Rattus norvegicus: one gene and its partner. The protein of the gene in region 1 purifies or fractionates together with the protein of each later gene. This does not show direct contact. Links are inferred from orthologs where the notes say so. Each region holds a gene or a part of one and is shown in the gene's direction. Other genes may lie near its edges.

Region 1 (5,846 bases):
TAACTGCTGGAAAATGAAACCTGGTTCTCATGTGTAGCTCTTAACTGTATTTTTATTGGATAGTATCGATGAGCAGTATAAACCTGAAGCATGGGGGAACAGTAGAACGAGCTTGTAATCCCAACACTGGGAGAGTGAGGCAAGAGGATGGTAAGTTCATGGCCAGCCTGCGCATACAGCAAGACCCTGTCTTAAAACAGCAGGCACCTCAAACATGCAGATCTTATTCTCCAAGCCTGAGTAGTTGTTTAATGACACTGGTGGTTTTCCCAGCGTCTTATTGGAAAGTTTAGATTTTCATTCCTGAATTTTTTGTATAAGGCATTGACTGTTGGATGTGAGGTTTTCTGAAATAACAAAACAAAAAGGAAAATCGCTGTTTTCCCATTTTAAACCTACAGCATTTAGCACCGCAGCTCTGTTCATTATACTTTTGGCCAGTAGAGGAGGCCACAGAACAACAGGGAGATCATTGGCCTTCCTGGTCGCTGGTTGGTTAATAAACTATTCATTTCTTCCAGAAACAAACTGTTCCCTGAGTCAGTCATCAGAAATATTATGTATCAAATACTACAGGGGCTGGCATTTATCCACAAACATGGTGAGTTTCTTCGTAGTCTTATTTTCCTGTCTGTGCACACAGGGTAACATCAGGACCACACATAGCAATAATGTGTCTTCTGCTGAGCTGTGTCTGACTTTGTCCTCTACACATCGTAATTTTTTATAATTGTACATCGATATCTATTATCTATAACAGACATTTTACAAGTTTGCTCACTAGTCTCCTGCCTCACACCTCTCCACTAACTCAACTAGAGAAACATTAATGAAAAGAAAAAAACAAAAACCAAAAGTATCTTGTGAGGGTTTTTGCAGGTTAGGAAATGAATTCTCTTTCTAGGATAAGTTGAAAATAACCAGCTTTATTTGATACACTGCACAGAGAGCAGCAGGCATGGGGTAATGGTGCCAGGCTGCAGGGCAGCCCATCTTGGAGGAACCCCGAGTGTTGCTGGCAGTTTCTCACTGCGTAAAGAGGGCAGCAGTGTGATTTCAGGTTATGGCTGGTTTTGTGTTTCTGCGGCATTCCGCTGTTCTGTTTGGACAGAAGGTGCTATGGGGGTTTGTTTGTTCATTCGTTTTTTTGGTCTGTGCAGGGGATGCTCTCTGGCCCAGGTTTGCCCTTTCTGTTCTCTCAATGACAGATTTTCCTCCAAGCTTATTTCAGAAAGGATTAGAAGTCTTCTTTGACCAAGCATGGCTGCTCACGGGGATTTAAATACTGCATGGTGCCTATGTGTGGTTTTTATAGTGTCCTTAGCGTCTGCATTTAGTCACACCTATTGTCTGAGTGGAATGGAAGCTGCTGTGTATTTCCTATGACTCTCTTACTCCTTTACTTTATGTGATTTTGCATATCACCGAGTGAAGATAATCATTATCTCGGACATCTAAAACATTTGGTGTTATTGAATGTCTGGTTAGAATTGCTGGCTATTCCAGTATTTAGCGGGAAAGGTTTGTAAGTTTGTGTCATAGCGTTGTGTGCACTTGGAACCTAGGTAGGCAATAGTTAGAAATGTCGACACCAAGAGGGCTGGGTCTCAAACCTCCACAGAAGACCGTTGGTACCAACTAACCATAGTTCTCCCTGGTGCGGTCTTCAGAACCCAGCACCTGAGTCCACTTCAGGAAGAATCATTAGCCTCTGTCACTGACCATTTATTTAATAGAGAGTCAGTAATAATGAGCATTTTCATCATTGGGTTTTTCAAAGACTTAGCCACCAGGAGAAAGTGAACTGTTAAATAAGCCAGGAGATTAGTTCAAATGTGTGGAGCTCTTTTGGAAGTCCAATGAACTTTTCAAATCTGAGACTAACCTCAGGGACTCTCGTGTTAAGGTGTGGCATAACAGCAGTAAGGAGACCAACCACATTGACGGAAACCAAGCTTCTCTCCGCATCTCTTTCTATCTGTTACACAGTAGTGATAACAACACACCAAATTCCATAAGCATGTAGAAATACTAGGGGTTAGTCACAGTGTCAGTATCCATCCCTCGTATGCACCCATGGCAGTCAAAAATTAAAAATGGGAAGTTATTTTTAGTGACCTTACATGTCATGTGAACCTTCTCCTAAATTCTTCTGCAAGCAAATTCTCACACCCCTTTACTTCTTCCTAGGAAAATGTTTCCTCCCCAACCCTGTGCTGCTGATAGGAGGTCTTGGTTATATTTATATGTATATATTTATATAAAGCAATGAGTCACATGATGATAATAAACAGGACTATTTAGTGTTTTCCTCTCTTGCTTGCACAGGCTTTTTTCACAGGGACATGAAACCTGAGAATTTGCTTTGCATGGGTCCAGAGCTGGTGAAGATTGCTGATTTTGGACTTGCGAGAGAATTAAGATCACAGCCACCATATACTGACTATGTGTCTACCAGATGGTAACATTTATAGTAAAGTTTTCCTATGTTGAACTGTTAATTAGCTTTCCAGAGGGTCCATATTGGGTATTTAAAACAAAATGTAGACATTTTATGTTCTTTGCAGAGAGGAAAGAATTGGCTTGTGGCTCTTCCACTAATGAAACAAAAGAAGGGAAAAAAATAGTTCACTCAGCCTTTGTAAGGTTTGAATATGCTTGGCCCAGGGTGTGGCACTATTTGGAGGTGTTGGAATGGGTGTGTCACTGTGGGTGTGGGCTTTAAGACTGGAAGTCAGTCTCCCTCTAGCAGCCTTCAGATGAAGATGTAGAACTCTCAGCTCCTGCTGCACCATCCCTGCCTGGATGCTGCCACGCTCCCACCTTGATGATAGTGGACTGAACCTCTGAACCTGTAAGCCAGCCCCAATGAAATGTCCTTTAAGAACTGCCTTGATCATGGTGTCTGTTCACAGCAGTAAAGCCCTGACTAAGACACTTCCAATAACACTGAATAACTACTATGTGCTAAACATTACCATAGGCATTAGGAACACAAGGCCAGGAACAAAGCAGAAGTCTCTGTCTGGTGAAAGCCAAAACACAAATCGGTTAAATGGTATAAATTACCAAAATCAATGTCACAACCCCAATTACCCTTAAGGCATTCCACCCAAAGGAAGGCTATTCAGCAGGAGGAAGGGACAGTCTACCATGACAAACAGCACACAGAACATTTCAGAGGTAACACAGAGAGTAGGAGGCCACACAGGAAAAGACCTTCTACCGATTACAGTCATTTCATAAAGCGCAAGACTAGGGAAAGAGCTGTGGGTTTACGCCACAATAGTGTGGAATGAGCCTTTAGGGCTCCTGTAGCATGCATTTGATCTGGTTGTTAGACCTGTGAACATGTCCTATTTGTGGAAAATTTAGCAAGTTATGGGCTTAAGTGCATTTTCCTGTATGTGTATTTGTAAAATCAAGTGTGTACATACATGTTGTGGTGATACCTTATTATAAACAAAATAATATATGGACAAGAGAGGGGAAGTTGGGGTCAGTAAGGAGGGAAAGAAAAAATATAGATATAGATACAGATATAGATATAGATACAGAGTTTCTCTGTGTAGCCCTGACTATCCTGTCCTGGAACTCACTATGTAGACCAGGCTGGCCACAAACTCAGAGATCCGCCTGCCTCTGCCTCCTGAGTGCTGGGATCAAGGGCGTGTGTCACCTCAAGGTATGCTGCTTTGTAACAGTAGCCTTGAAATTAGGAACACAAGTCTTCTGAAGGAAATATCCCAATGACAGTCTTCAAGAACAAACAAAATATGTCATGGCACTGCTGTCTAGCTCAAGTGGCCTTGATTGCTGGCATAGTGCAGACCAGAACACATCCCTGTCCCAGGCAGTGTAGACATTTGAAAAGTTAGTGAATGTGGAAAAAACTATATGTACATGAGGCCAGCCTGGTCTACAGAGTGAGTTCCAGGGCAGCCAGGGCTACACAGAGAAACCCTGTCTCAGAAATGCACGCACACACACACACACACAGAGAGAGAATGTAATTGTGTCATGTTTCGGAGGATGGATTGAGCTGAAGTTCATCATGTTAAGTGGCATACTCCAGACTCAGGAAGACAACTGTTTCGTAGATCAGCGAGGAATGGGGGCAGGGGGCGATGCAGGGGCTTGCTACTTGCCTCTTATAAATTAAAAATAGTATCATCTATATGAGGAAGTGTAATACTAGCATGAAGATTTTCAATGTGATTTGTAAAAGGGGGGGTGGGCAGAGACTCCCTACTCAAGGGCAATCCATCCATCTTTCCTCTCCTAACCTCAAGTGGATACATTCACACCTGATGGTTTTATCCACGGTTCTTTCTGGATATTTAGAGGCTACTTACCTTCCCGATTATCCCTGTGAAGACCTACCTCAAGCCACATGGACATTTTCTCACATTTCTAGCCAGCCCCACTAACTGTGGTCAGAAAATAGATGTCTCACCCAGAGTCCCTGGTACACAGAAGGTGCTTTGTCCTAGGTCTTGCTTGGAAGCTGGGAGCCAACAGTTGGCTCCTGCTGTCCATTGCCCTGTGATGTCACACCCGAAAGAGCGTTTTCTGTACTGTTCTCTGTTTTCACAGGTACCGTGCTCCTGAAGTTTTGCTAAGGTCTTCAGTGTACAGCTCTCCCATTGACGTGTGGGCCGTGGGAAGTATAATGGCCGAGCTATATACGTTTAGACCGCTTTTCCCAGGGACCAGTGAAGTTGATGAGATCTTTAAAATTTGCCAAGTGTTAGGGACTCCCAAGAAAGTAAGTACCCTGGTCCCCTAGTGGCCTGGCCTCTTTAGTGTCCCTCACTTTTATTATTATTTATTTATTTATTATTAGTATTAATTATAATTATAAATCATTAATTTATTATTATTATTTATTTTTATTTTGCTTTTTCTGGTTTTTATTTCTTACTTTAGCAGAGATGTATGATATTTTCAGTTTCAAATCCCTTTATACTTTAATGGTTTTCTTACAAACATAACGCTTTTATTGGGGAACAATAAAGATCGCAAGAAGTCAGCGTCCCACCAGATTCAAGTGGACTTTCTCTGTGTATCTCCTTTAACAGAGTGACTGGCCGGAGGGGTACCAGCTGGCATCCTCCATGAACTTCCGCTTTCCCCAGTGCATTCCTATAAACCTGAAAACTCTCATTCCCAATGCCAGTAGTGAGGCTATTCAGCTTATGACAGAAATGCTTAACTGGGATCCAAAGAAACGGCCAACTGCAAGCCAGGTAAGGCAGCACTCCCTGGGGACAGCTTTTTTATTTCATGTGCAGATGTGTGTGTCTAAGTATGGATGTGCACCACGTGTGTACAGGAACCCAAGAGGCCATTAGATGCCATTGGATCCCCCAGACTGGAACTGTAGGTCTTGTTGAGCCACACTGCAGGGCCCGGGAACCAAACCCGGGTCTTCTACAAGAACAGACAGTACCCTTAACCACTGAACCATTTCTCCAACCTCTAATTTTTAAAGTCTTGCAATTTTACAAAGACATCGATTCTCAATCAATGTTTTCTAAGATCAGTAAGTACTAAAACCCAGGACACCCTCTGTACACAAGCGGGAGCTGGGCAAACAGAGTCACTGCATGGTGGTGTCATGTGACCCTAACGAGCTAGAGAGGAAGTAACCACTAAGGACAAGTCCTCAAGTCCAGCACATGCTTGGTCTGGGTGGCACACAGTGGGCCTCTTTGGTGGAGGGCTAAGATTCTTATTCATTGGAACAAGAATCAGGAACTTGAGACTGCAGTAAAAGAGTTTATCCTCTGACTCCCACAAGAGGGTAGCATTGTGGCACTTTGTGGTCTTTAAAATGCTATCCC
Region 2 (5,199 bases), on another chromosome or scaffold:
ACAAGCTTATCGACCAAGTCAACGACACCAGTGATGGCAGGCACATGTGGTTGGCTCCCATCCTGCCTGGCTTGGTAGGTATCTGGCCTTGGGGTTGGATAGGTGCCTGCCCTTGGCCCAGTGACAGCTGAAACATTTGAGAGCCATCAGAGAGGGGCAGCTGTGGCTAACAGCTGTGGGTGTAGCCCTTCCAGGCCTATAGTCCCTTGTCTCACTCTAAAAACTTTGCCCAAAAAGGCACCAGACACCAGATGTGTGAGGAGCTCCAGGAACCCTGAAGTCAGGAGTCTCTCTACAGGTGCTGGAGGACAGAGACCACTGGCCTCATGTGCATCTGCTGCCTCTCTTTGTCAAAGCCCCCTTCAGCCCACTCTACCCTGGCATCGTCCACATGCCTCCTCTCCTTTGCCTGTCTCTGCTCCTTACATGACTACCCACGGCCACAGTGTGGCCACCTTGCCCTCCCTATAGCTCCAGTTGGTCATGTCATCCATTCTTACGCTGATTGCCTTTTCCAGCTCTTAAACCCTGCAGCGGGCCTGATCCATCGTCCCAGAGAGGAGGGAGGGAGGTCCAGGAGAGGGTGTAGGCCATCAGCACCTCCACCTCAGAGCCAGAACCTATTTTCAGAACATGGTGGGATTCTTTCCTGCTCATGTAACTGTGTATAATAAAATGGACATTTTCCACTTAAAAGAGAGAACAACTCCCAAAGACCACAGGGCCAACTCCTCAGCCCCATCCTCTGTTACAAAGGGTTACACCAGCCCTGTGTCCCTTAGACTCCAGCCTAAAACAGAGTTCACTGCTCTCCTCTGGCTGCTGCCATACTCCTAGTGGGAATCTAAGGGTCTGAGCAGAAGGATTCCACACAGCCATCGCTGTTTGCAGGCCACTGCATGCTGCAGGCCGGGCTCATTCACACTTAGTTCTTTATTTGGCCTTCCAAGTGGCCCCTTTGTGATGTGGAGCCTGCTGCTAATCTGGGGCTGGGTGCTAGTCACTGAATAATTCCCCAGCAGGCATGGGTTGGAAGAAACCCTGGGAAAGGACAAATGGGTCAGCACCATGCACATTGTTTGGTGGCGAGAAGCTCCTGGCCTCTGCAGGTGGAAACTGTCCCTGGGCTTGACCCGATGAACAGAAGGCAGGGCTGCCCTCAATTCTCTGCCAGTATTTAAATGAGAGCCACAGCAGCAGGAGGCCGAAGGCCCTTCCAGAGCCAGCTCAGCAGTTTATTCCAAACGCAACTACACGTGACTTGACTCAAAATGGGCTCTGAGGAGAAGAGAAGCAACAGACCGCCAGGCTCCCACGTGAAGAGTGGGGCCCAGCTCCCTGCCCTGGTGTCTGGGCCCTGCCCGAAGCTCTGCTTCCAAACACAGCTGCTTCAATTAGCTTTGCTCTCTGACAGGTGAACCGAGTGTATGTCATTTTCGATCTGCCCACCACTGTGTCTATGATCAAACTGTGGAATTACACGAAAACACCTCAGCGAGGGGTGAAGGAGTTTGGCGTGAGTCTCCACTAGCTGGTGTGGGAGATCCTTGTGCTTGCTGGAAATTAGGCTGGGGCAGTTATCATTTGGTGCAGTTTAGTCTCGATCCCCAGTTATAACCTTGGAAGTACCTGGTCCTGAGAGCAGGGAAATGGCCTGGAAATGATCCAAAGCCGTGGGGGATAGAGACTGAGTCTGCCTCATCTCTACATTTGGTCACCCAGTGCTGAGAACATCCCCCAGCCTCAACTTCCAAATCTGCAGCCCAAGCTGACAACACATGCCCTCCCTGCCAGTGTGGGGGAGATCCTTGGGCTTGGGTTGCATTGCTAGGGTTGGGGTAAATGTGGGAGGGTGCCTGGGCCTCACTCCTACTCTGTCTCTTAGCTGCTGGTGGATGACTTGCTGGTGTACAATGGCATTCTTGCCATGGTGAGCCACGTGGTTGGGGGCATCCTACCCACATGTGAGCCTACCGTGCCCCACCACACCATCCTTTTTGCCGAGGACACTGACCTCTGTCACCAGGAGAAACACACCATCATCAGGTATGCCCCTCACCAGCCCTAATGAAGATGGATGGCGGGACGTGGTCTGGGGCCTGATGCGCCTTCTGTCTCCCCTTCTGCAGTAAGCCTGAGGAAGACCAGGACATACAAATGATGAATGAAAACCAGGTCATCACCACCTCTCGCAGGAAGCCAGCCACTGCTGACCCAGGTGGGTGGCATGCCTCTGCCCTGGGCATGCCTGTCAGAGGCTTGGTCTATATGGAGAGGAAGTCAAGTACACTGGCCTTGCCCTGCCCACCTAAAACGTCTTCCCCTTCACTCTTGTCCCAGAGTAGCTTCCCTGTGGTCAAGAGAGAAGGTACACTGTGGGGAAACAGGAAAGAAAACCAAGTGGAAGGCTCCATGGGGCAGGTGGCATTTGAGCTGAGTCCTAAAAGACATCTGATAATATAGGCAAAGGCCCTGAGGATGGCATGATAGAGTCCATTCCATGCATGGGATAGGTTAGGCAGGGTGCCCAGAACTTAGGCCTAGCCAGGTCTCCACCTATCTGAATGGCCAGCCAGGTATATAGTTGTTCTCAAGGGCAGTGTAACTCACACCTCCTGTGCCCTGTTTCCACAGCCTTACGTCCCAAAACCTGCATACGTGAGAAGGAGAGCTCAAGGCGTTGGCGGTGCTGACTGGAGCAGGAGGGAGAGCCTCTTCGGGCTGGCTAGGCTCCATCACCAGCCCCAAACAGCACCGGTGTCCCTCAGACTTCAGGGCTGGCCAGCTGGGACCCCTCGGGCTGGAAGAGCATGGAGGGACAAGGGACTTGAATCACAGCCCCAGGAGCCATAGGAGTCAGGCGAAAGGGTCAAGAACAGGATAGCTGCTCCCTGCGACACAGGGCTGGCTGCTGGGAGCCAGGAACACTTGGTTCCTCTCTGTGCCTCTCCTGTGAGGTTCATAAGAGCAGGGCCTCTGGCACCCGAGTCCTAGGCAGCCCCTGACCCAGGCCCAGAACTCAGTACCAAGACCATGGAGCCTGTGCCCCTCCTCCACTACACAGCCCTCCTCACTAAGGGCAACAGCTGCTAAGAGGCCACTGTGCTGCAGCTCCTCTATCCAGTGCCTCTGGAGACCTGATGGGGCTAGTCCTCTGTTCAAGCCTGATTCAGGATGGGTCAAGGACATGTGTCCTGCTGAGGAGAGGAAGTGAGCTGTAGCGAGTGCTGAAACCTGCCCTTAGCCCCTACATCTCCTCCTATCACAACACACGCGCGCGTGCACACACACACCCTCTACCTGCAAGTCAGAGTTGGGAGGGCCTAGGCTCAGCCCTGCTTCTTCTCCCTGCAGCCCAGAGCCCCATACCTGTGTGTACATCTATGGAACAAGCTCAGATCAGGGACCTAATCAGTCTCCCAGTAGTGGGTAATTTCTGCTTCCAAATATTAATCTGTTATTTTCCTGGCTCGGGGCCCAGTGGGGCGGTGCCATGGTGCCGAACTCAGTACATTCTGATACTACCAAGAATCACAAACCCTTTTAAGCAGCAACACCCAGCAGCTGTACAGATGTTTTAATTCAGATCCAGCTGACAAGCAGATAGGATTGCTTCTCTGATGAGAATCCATCATCTCTGTAGCCTCCAGGGCCTCCCCACCCCCACCCCCTGGCTCCTCCACTTACTCCCAGGAGAGCCATCAAACCAACTCTAGGCGAATCAGGGCCACTCCTTTAACAGGAATCCAGCTTCTACTCCTTGGGGTGGGCTCAGGTAGATTTTTCTGGAACACCTAAGACTGACCTTGGCGTGCTCCCTCCAGATACTTGGTGGGTGTTTATAAGTGTGTATTCCATGCACTCTCAGAGGGAAGGCGCTGGCACAAGCATTAACTGTCAAACAAATGTTTATTTTTTCTTACAAAATCAATAAAAGATGTTATTAAGAATAGAGTGTGGTGCACTGGATGTTGTCAGCCAGAGGAGGTCCTTGTTGTCTCCAGCCCTAAGCCAGGGCTGGGGGGCCTGAGGCTTGCTGAACATTCAGGCCCCTCTGAGCTGAGCCTGCACTGCCCGCAGGTGGGGACGAGGCATTGGACTCTCTTTCTCCAAGGAATCCGCCTGCCACCATGAAAACAGACACCGGAAAACCATTTAATCCATGTCACATATGAAGTGACTGGGTGTGAGTGAGGCTGGCAGTAGAAATGTCCTAGGGTGGTACTCTCTAGATGCCCCCATGGCCCCTTTGTTCTGATGGATTTCATGTCCTTAACAGCCAGGAGGTCAAGGCAAGGAGCACATGCGAAGGGAAGGAGCAAGGCTGTGGCAACAGTGTTTGCCGGGAGGCCCCAGCCTTGAGGACCTGCCACAGGCCAGAGAGTTTGTACAAGGCTGCATGCCCACTAGTGCCAAGGCTGTGTCCCAGATCACAGACGTTGCACGTTCCTAACACCATGCACATGCGGTCTGCAGGCCTCCCTGGAAACTGGTCGGCTCACAGCAGAAGGGCAGCTCTTGGCTGCTTGTTTCATTATAAGAGCAACAGTGTCAATAGTAGCCAGCATATACCCTCCTCCAGGTAAACGGGCCTGTGGGTGATGGACACAGGCCTCATTTGCTGTGGCTGCCCTCCTCCCAGCACACTGCATGTTGTGCAGTGCTTCTACGGCTGGCTGACCTGAGTTGTAGCACAGGTGCACCATCCTCCATGCCCAACCCAAGTCCCCCTCTCCTGAGCTCCCCCGGTGGTGTTACCCCAATGGAGTCTGGGCTCCGACCCAGGCTTCCCTACCCAGACTGCACAGCAGCTTCTGGAGTTGCCCCAGCATCCAGACCTTGGACTTCACAGGCATCCCTCCAAGAGACATTCAGCTAAGTCTTCTAGGGAGACTCTTAAGAGCATGATGCAGGGATCTTGGAACTGTGTGACATTAATGGAGACTGCCAGGGCAATAAGCCACCCTCTGGCCTGCCCCTCTTCCGTGTTCAGCCACAGTTGATTGCTCCAAAAGCTTCTCACAGCCGTTGATGGGACAAAGCCATGCCCCACCCTACACTCCATGCTTACCCCTGTCTTTTGTAGTAGGCTCTCTTTTCTACCAATTCTGAGACTCCACCCAACTTGCTCTCTACCAAGCAAGGGAAGGGGGGGCACACCCCAGCTAGCCCTGTCCCCAGCTTGTCCTCACCCTGTCT

What was found. The genes of interacting proteins can lie anywhere in the genome.
Region 2: the proteins of Mak (region 1) and Katnip purify together in Homo sapiens (affinity purification with mass spectrometry; 3 studies listed by BioGRID and IntAct, with this or other methods). This does not show direct contact. The link is inferred for Rattus norvegicus from reciprocal best matches to the Homo sapiens genes MAK and KATNIP.

Annotation. Positions count from the first base shown.
Region 1 is NC_086035.1:23,908,721-23,914,566, forward strand, and holds part of Mak (serine/threonine-protein kinase MAK), read left to right. Parts: intron 1-521; coding exon 522-601; intron 602-2,328; coding exon 2,329-2,461; intron 2,462-4,596; coding exon 4,597-4,768; intron 4,769-5,081; coding exon 5,082-5,249; intron 5,250-5,846. UniProt on the Homo sapiens protein: Essential for the regulation of ciliary length and required for the long-term survival of photoreceptors. Phosphorylates FZR1 in a cell cycle-dependent manner. Plays a role in the transcriptional coactivation of AR.
Region 2 is NC_086019.1:189,863,451-189,868,649, forward strand, and holds the end of Katnip (katanin-interacting protein), read left to right. Parts: coding exon 1-74; intron 75-1,414; coding exon 1,415-1,516; intron 1,517-1,885; coding exon 1,886-2,046; intron 2,047-2,129; coding exon 2,130-2,218; intron 2,219-2,634; coding exon 2,635-2,693; 3' UTR 2,694-3,952; downstream 3,953-5,199. UniProt on the Homo sapiens protein: May influence the stability of microtubules (MT), possibly through interaction with the MT-severing katanin complex.